Arabidopsis thaliana: one gene and its partner. The protein of the gene in region 1 interacts with the protein of each later gene in a pairwise test. Each region holds a gene or a part of one and is shown on either strand. Other genes may lie near its edges.

Evidence for each region.
Region 2: the proteins of MKK9 (region 1) and PPa5 interact in a two-hybrid assay, tested with the Arabidopsis thaliana proteins (one large-scale study listed by BioGRID).

What each region holds. Positions count from the first base shown.
Region 1 is NC_003070.9:27,638,455-27,642,492, reverse strand, and holds MKK9 (MAP kinase kinase 9), read left to right. Parts: upstream 1-1,849; 5' UTR 1,850-2,141; coding exon 2,142-3,074; 3' UTR 3,075-3,402; downstream 3,403-4,038. UniProt on the Arabidopsis thaliana protein: MKK9-MPK3/MPK6 module phosphorylates and activates EIN3, leading to the promotion of EIN3-mediated transcription in ethylene signaling. Autophosphorylates and also phosphorylates MPK3 and MPK6.
Region 2 is NC_003075.7:624,177-628,699, reverse strand, and holds PPa5 (pyrophosphorylase 5), read right to left. Parts: upstream 2,632-4,523; 5' UTR 2,498-2,631; intron 2,481-2,497; exon of another isoform or gene 2,378-2,480; intron 2,162-2,377; coding exon 2,026-2,161; intron 1,951-2,025; coding exon 1,922-1,950; intron 1,845-1,921; coding exon 1,779-1,844; intron 1,699-1,778; coding exon 1,591-1,698; intron 1,509-1,590; coding exon 1,443-1,508; intron 1,349-1,442; coding exon 1,228-1,348; intron 1,148-1,227; coding exon 1,066-1,147; intron 985-1,065; coding exon 942-984; 3' UTR 630-941; downstream 1-629. Other genes in the region: TIP1;3 (tonoplast intrinsic protein 1;3), read left to right, coding at 2,850-3,608.

The DNA of each region.
Region 1 (4,038 bases):
CTTTTTAGTCTATGTTTTTTTTACAGTTCTTGTATGTTTTGCTTTGTTTGGATGCTGGTTTTTCACTCTGCGTAAATCGAAATTCGCTTCTTTTTTTCCATCAATTCTTTCATGTAAGCAAACATCTCTACTAGATTGATATTGTTCGCCATATTAAGTTCCAACTTTGGGATCAATTCTAAACTGCCTTTAGATTTATTTAAAACTCATGAAATATCTAATATATTGAACGGTTACAAACAGAAAATATCAAGGAAATTTCATAAGTACTAAATAACTAAATCTACTCAATTTCACCAAAATAATATACCTCAATTCAGTTGTAATATTTGACTTCGTTCATACTTTTTTTTATTCTAAAACATCATAAATCTCAATCGTAATTGGAATAATCTCCAATTCTCCATGTCATGATGATTAACATTTTTTTTTATCGAATTATAGTGAAGTAGCAAAAGTGAATCAGATGTTATAAAAGCCCACTCTAATAATGGTTGTAAATCAACCCAATTGAAAATAAATCCAAAGAAACTTTTTTGTTGAACCAAACAAATCGAAGTAGGAGCACATCAGGCCCACTATCTTGTAAGTCTATGTCTGAAGAGAAAACAGAGCACAACAACGAAGGACAAAGCAACCGAGGGATGGGCCAGTCACTAATGCAACAAACTCTGAAGCCCATTTATGAAGAAAAGCCCAAATGTTAATCTGTTATAAAGCCTCATATAAGCCCAATAATTAATTTTCTTCACAACGGCTCCACACAGTGAGTGTTGTACAAATGGCCAAAAGGTGCAATACGATTACTGAGATTGAGAGGCAACTTCCTGGAGCCAGGAATGCTCCATTGTACGTACCCTGGGCCTGATGCTATAATTATGTGTCGACATGTGTGGAACAAATGTCTGGTTAATAATTTTTAAATTAAAAACACACACAATTTTGTAATTAAACATCATTAAGCATGTGCTCAATAAATAGACACATGACACATGCTAAATGCTACATATATATGGCAAAAAAAACATCAACTAAATATTCAAAAATTCAAATCTTTAACAACCCCACAAAATTAAACTTTGTTTGAATCACACAAAATTTTAATTTCAATTTAAAATATATAATCCAAACCGTAAACTTAAGGTTATATACCACACAGATATAATTTGAGCTCTTAAACTTTGTGTAGTTAAAGATTGTAATTTAAAACTTTCTTTAATTCATTAAAAAAAACTATACAAAATCCTGTATGGTTAGATTTTTTTTTCTTCTACAAGTATGGTTAGATTCTGATTTCAAAATTTTGTGGAGCTATGTCTATAAGGCATGTGCATAAATACACACATGATACATGCATAACGCATAAAGGCTAAAGCTATAAGAAAATACTATAAACGTATGTGTCCTGAATTCAAAGATCTTATCTGAATCTTCTTACAACATACTATCAAATATAATAAAAGATTACAAAAGTTGCCAAACATTTGAATACGATGGCCTCATACTTAGAAATCAAACAGATGGCTGTTAGAAGCTTTTCCACGTTGGCCTACCAAAATGTTTAATCCTCCTCTTTGGTCCTTCTCATTACCTCATTTAGTCATTAACTTCCTCGTCCTTTAGCCTCCTCTTCGTTCATCGAACCTTCACACTTTTCATTTCTAAAGCAATCTCATTTATTAATAGTCGGCAACAAATCATTTATTAGTGTATAACTACTAGATTAGTTACCGTTTTTTCTTACACTATAGTTAAAACCAAAGCCGCCCAAATCTTTCAATTCCAATAACTTTTAGATACCTTATCGTTGTACTACGATTAGGATTAGTCATTTTCCATGATATATTATATAATGTGAACAAATTTACAGTCTGATGCAATTAACCACGTGCGTAATCAAACACTCACACAAGTTGCATTTTTTACGATATTATATAGGAGGAAAAAAAGAAAAAAAAAATCCATTTTAAGATAAGAATAAAACTAAATAAGGAAAAAGAAGGATAATTAGGTCATCTTCACCTTCCTCGTTGTCTCCTCACACTGTAAAAGACTTGAAACTCATATAAAATCTCAAGCTTCTATCTATTTCTTCTTTCATCATCATCATCATCACTCTCTCTTCTTCTTCTCTCTATTCCATGGCTTTAGTACGTGAACGTCGTCAGCTAAATCTCCGTCTTCCTCTTCCTCCAATCTCCGACCGCCGCTTCTCCACCTCTTCCTCCTCAGCCACCACCACCACCGTCGCTGGCTGTAACGGAATCTCCGCTTGTGATCTCGAGAAACTCAACGTTCTCGGATGCGGAAACGGCGGGATTGTTTACAAAGTCCGTCATAAAACCACATCGGAGATCTACGCTTTGAAAACAGTTAACGGCGACATGGATCCGATTTTCACAAGACAGTTGATGCGAGAGATGGAGATTCTCCGCCGTACAGATTCACCGTACGTCGTTAAGTGTCACGGAATCTTCGAGAAACCTGTCGTCGGTGAAGTATCGATTCTAATGGAGTATATGGACGGCGGAACCCTAGAATCACTACGCGGCGGTGTAACGGAGCAAAAACTCGCCGGATTCGCTAAACAGATCTTAAAAGGATTAAGCTATTTACACGCTCTTAAGATCGTTCATCGTGATATCAAACCGGCGAATCTTCTTCTCAATTCGAAAAACGAAGTTAAAATCGCTGATTTCGGAGTTAGTAAGATCTTAGTCCGATCATTAGATTCGTGTAATTCGTATGTTGGTACTTGTGCTTATATGAGTCCGGAGAGGTTTGATTCGGAATCTTCCGGTGGAAGCTCTGATATCTACGCCGGAGATATCTGGAGTTTCGGATTGATGATGCTTGAGCTTCTCGTTGGTCATTTTCCTTTGCTTCCGCCGGGACAGAGACCTGATTGGGCGACGTTGATGTGCGCGGTGTGTTTTGGAGAACCGCCGCGAGCGCCGGAGGGATGTTCTGAAGAGTTTAGGAGCTTCGTTGAGTGTTGTCTCCGTAAAGATTCGAGTAAGCGATGGACGGCGCCGCAGCTTCTTGCTCATCCTTTTCTCCGGGAAGATCTTTGATTCGATTCCTTTTGTAACAGAATCTGGAATCTTAAAAGTTGGAATATTAGATTTGAAATTATTTTAATTTTTGTAGAGTTTTCTGGAGATATTTATGATCGTGATTTTTGTACATATAATATACTCCAGAATGTTAGGGGAAAATCGTTCTTGTAAGAACCCTTAATTATTAAGATCATCAAATTATGTTCTTTTTCAATTCATTAATTCAATCAATCGTGTACATAAGTTTTGGGTTAATCTATATTAAATCAAAAAGTAATAGTCACTCGTGACAAGTGTAGTAGATATCTTATAGTATTATTGTAGAATGTTGAATCATAATCAATCATTTTATTTTATAGTTCATGTTTGTTGGCCCATTAGTCTCCATAATCTTAAAATAATTCACAATAAAAAAATTCTCTTTACCTAATACAAATAGATTTTGATTGTTGTTGATGAAAATAATTTTATTAATTATAATATCATTGTGTTTATTACAGATTCTCACCGTAAGTCAATGGCAATGCTCTTGAAAAAATATTATAAGTAATGTAAAGAATAATTGCAACGTAATGTACCCAAAACTACATATAGATCTAATCTTTTGAGTTTTTGATTATAGCAATGATTTAGTTATTTTCATTTTATCTTCGTGGAAAAACAAAAATTAAATAAAGCAAGTTAAGAAAAAAAAGAGGGTGGCGCAGTTGATGATGTTTTAATGAAAATCAAAATGTAGTTGCCAAAAACAAAAATATACTTACGCAAAGAAAATAATATTATTGATAAGGGTCACCCACTCACCACTTGGCACTTGCTTGCGCAACAATCTCGCTATGGATGTTCGTCGAAAATTCCGGTGGTTTTGTTTAGCAAGTGGAAGAATTTGATATTATTATTATTTCTTTGTTTTTTTGCTTACTAACTTACATCACTATAATTCTGAATAGATTATGAAATGAATATGCTGATCTATTGG
Region 2 (4,523 bases), on another chromosome or scaffold:
AAAATAAGCATTAGTATTTAGTATACTATGTTATTTCCATCTACTCTTTCACAATTTTTTTTGTTTCAGTAAGATTGATTCTCTAATGTTATGTGTATTTTTTTATTTATAATAAGTGACATGTAGCCAAATTATTTTGCTTCACTTTAAATAATATTCAATATTTTTTCATGTAAAACTATTAACTATTTTCAAAATCAACCTTACAATAAATGCTTAGTCCTATTACTTTTGTTTTGAAAATTAATAGAATGTAGGTGTAAAATAGATAATATACATGTATAAATTTTTTAAATATCACTTATTAAAAAAGGATGAAGTATTACGCTTATATTTAGATTTAAAAAAAAAAAACTAGAGAACTAATAAGATTTTTGGTAAAATATATTCTGGTATTAAGTGTTTTTTTAGTGAAAAGGAGATTGATATACACGCGCCAATTTACTGGTATTGATATATACTGGGCCAGGCCCATTTTGGGGTGAGCAGCAGATCCAACTATCTGACAAAAGAAAGAAAAAGAAGTTCTCCACCACCTGACATTTTCTCATTCTGATTCTGCAAATCTAATTGGGATTTGGATTTCAGAGGAAAACAAAATGTGGAATGGGGACTCTTCAAAAATGACAGTGACACTTATTTATAAAAACAAAAGTCTGGTTTCATTGGAACCAAATCGAAGCTTGAAATTATTAAAAAAAGATCCAAAGGCAGTGTTACAAATACAAACTCTTAATGTTCAGACAAAACATCCCCAGAAGACAACAACAACAACAACAACAAAAAGGAAAGCGTCAAAGCCAAATATGAGACACGTGCTTATTCAAAAAAAATCCAAATATAAGACAAATTCTTGTTCTTTTGCATATTCACTGCAACAGAATCTGAGATTGCAGACCCAAAAATTGGCAGGAATGTTCTTGAAGAAGTCTTCTTTTCATCTATCTCCTCAGGGTGTGAAGAATGTACTCAGCGTAAAGATCCCTGTGAATGATTTCAAACATCAAGATTTGCTTAAAAGAAAAGCAAATTATGTAAAAAAGGTAAAAAGAAAAAAAAGTTTACATTGAGTACTGAATGGCTTCAATAGCAGGACCAGGTTGTAGAAAATCATTCACTGCAACTTCCTTGTTCTCATTCTTCTTGTCTGTTATATTTTGGTTAAAGATAGCAAAAAAGAAATGGTTTTGTTTCCTAATCAAGTATTAAAATAGGTTTTAAGGATACAGTCTTCAAAGAATCGACGGATTTCAGAAAGACGATGAGGAGGAAGTTCATTGATGTTAGTGATGTGCTTATACTCAGGATCATCAACACAAACTGCAATGATCTTGTCATCTTTTTCACCCTTTATTTCAACCAAAACCCCAAAGAATTAGCTACAATGGTTACACAAACTTGAAGCACAAGGAAACATGAAAAACTAAAGCTTAGGATGTTACCTGGTCAATCATAGGCATTAAACCAATAGCTCGGGCGCGAAGAAAACAACCCGGAAGCACAGGCTCCTGTACATAATCAACTTTGATAAGAAATTATTTCAGCCATTTCATTTTCTTTTGGTGAATGTTGTTAGAATTAGACTCAAACCTGCATGATAACTAAAACATCTATAGGGTCATTGTCTTCACATAGTGTGCGTGGGACAAACCCGTAGTTGTGAGGATACACAACCGAAGAATAAAGAATCCTATCAACCTGATAGACATATACAAACACTTACGATCATCATATATCCTCAGATCATTCTGTTTTTTCAAGATTTGATATCTTTTTACCTTGATGAGACCTGTTTTTTTGTCAAGTTCATATTTGACTTTGCTCCCCTTTGAGATCTCAATAACCTAATTTCATCCAAAAAAGACAAATGATTAACTCTTTTTCGATCGGATTGTCACATCATCAAGCATAAAGACTTTACCACATTGAAAATCACTGGAGCTCCAGGTCCTGCACACATAGAACAATTTAGTTAAAAAGACTCTAATCAAACACACAGAATATCTTTAAAACAGTGATTATTACCGATTTCAAGATCATGCCATGGATGTGCAGCAACCGATCTCTTAGACAAAGATGAGAGAATCCTCTCGTTTAAACGTGGAGTAGGGTTCTGAAGCTTCTTCTGAGGTTGACTCGTTTTCACTTCTTCTCCATTCATCTAATAAAACAGAGCAAAACAGAACCAAACGTTAGAATCTTGTTAGTCAATTTTCATGACTTCACGTCTAAATCAATATAGAATCTTTTCACTATTGATGCTGATAACACGATCCATCACTCAAAGATTTAACATCAGATTCTACTAGTACGATAAACATCAATCATCTTCAAGATCGAAGTTAACAAAATCTACATAATTCAGCTAAACACTAACAATTTGTATCGAATTTGTTCATTTCTCGATAGATCTTCCGTTGGATACAAAATCCAGAGGATCAAACATCAATACGCAACAAAAGTTGAGATCAAGAACCTTCAAAAAAAAAAGTCGTACCTTAGAATCGTTTGAAGAACAGAACAATCTTGCGGAAAGTGTGGAGAAAGAAAAGTGACGATGATGAGAAAACAGTAAAGCGCGTGTTCTTCAATTGCTACCCATAATAGTATTTATAGAAAGCGAGAAAAACGGATTAAGATTTAATTAATTGGTAAGTAAGTTATTAATTAAATATGAATTTATAATCACCGTTCGATTTCTTATAACCTAGGGCCCACCGTAAAACACTAATCTCAGTCTCTTGAACGATTCTCATACACACACTTGGCACTAACGCTTTAACTATTTAAACTTTTACTGATGAAAAACAAAATGAAGAGGAAGCAAGAAAGCAAATTTTTTTGTAACGATGCCTATCAACAGAATTGCGATTGGAACGCCGGGGGAAGCTAGTCGTCCCGATGCGATTAGAGCAGCTTTCGCGGAGTTTTTCTCGATGGTTATATTCGTTTTCGCGGGTCAAGGCTCTGGAATGGCTTATGGAAAACTAACTGGAGATGGTCCAGCCACACCTGCCGGTCTTGTGGCCGCGTCTTTGTCTCATGCGTTTGCGTTGTTCGTTGCGGTTTCCGTTGGAGCTAACGTTTCAGGTGGTCATGTGAACCCGGCGGTTACATTTGGGGCTTTTATTGGTGGAAACATAACGTTGTTGAGAGCTATTCTTTATTGGATCGCTCAATTACTCGGAGCAGTCGTAGCTTGCTTGTTGCTCAAGGTAAGCACTGGCGGGATGGAAACGGCTGCGTTTTCGCTATCATATGGAGTGACGCCCTGGAACGCAGTCGTTTTCGAGATTGTGATGACGTTTGGGTTAGTTTACACGGTTTACGCTACTGCCGTGGATCCCAAGAAAGGTGATATTGGAATCATTGCGCCTTTGGCGATTGGGTTAATCGTTGGAGCTAACATTCTGGTTGGTGGTGCTTTCGACGGTGCATCGATGAACCCCGCGGTTTCATTTGGTCCGGCCGTGGTTAGCTGGATTTGGACGAATCATTGGGTCTATTGGGTTGGTCCTTTTATCGGTGCAGCCATTGCAGCTATTGTTTATGATACTATCTTTATCGGTAGTAATGGACATGAACCACTTCCTTCTAATGATTTCTAAGTTAGGTTTTTTTTTCTTGTGTCTTGTGAAACAAGAAATCTACAGTTGTAGCCTACTATGGGTATTTTGAGGGAGATATGTGTTTTTAATTGTTTTTCACTACTTTTGTTGTTTTAAGTAATTAATAAATTGATTGGTGGAAAATTTACACTAATTTAAATTAGATTAAACTATTATGTGGGGTATACGTAGTATTCTGCCATACTTAAGGAATTCATGTACAAACGAATTTTATTGGAGGCATATTCTTGAGATTATGCTTCCATGGTGAAAACTGAAAATATATCAAACATAATGGGACCCGCCATTATCAATAATACTATGAAGATATATATATGGTTGGTTGGTCCATGCACGTTCTTTATTTTATTTTTGGCCCAAGCACGTTCTGATATGTGAATCTTAGGCTAATGATTTTTTAGTCGATTTAAGTATTGAACAACACACACAAAAAAAGGAATTCAATAAACGGTACTTCGGTGTCCCGGTGTTTGCTCTAAACGCGTTTCCAAGTTTCTTGCACGTTCAAGCAAAGTGCGATGACGAGATTTGATGATACTCACGATGTATATTCCTCAATAACAATAATTGTGATTAGTATTATAAGTTTATATATATAACTCATCGTGGATTTAGAAGAGTTATGTCAATGGTCGATTGGTCGTATGTTTTATTGTTTTTACCACATGGAAAACTAACTATTTTATGTATCAAGAATTGTAAATAACATGACATTTGCAGATAACAACTATTTGGGAGAATTCTAAAATTCGCTCGATGATTTAATTTTAAAGATCTACACTAATTGTGCTACGTTGAGCAATTCTCTATTACAAGTTAATTGTGCTACGTTGACCATTTCTCTATTTAAAAATTAAACATATACAAAAACTCTTTACAACTATCAAATATTCT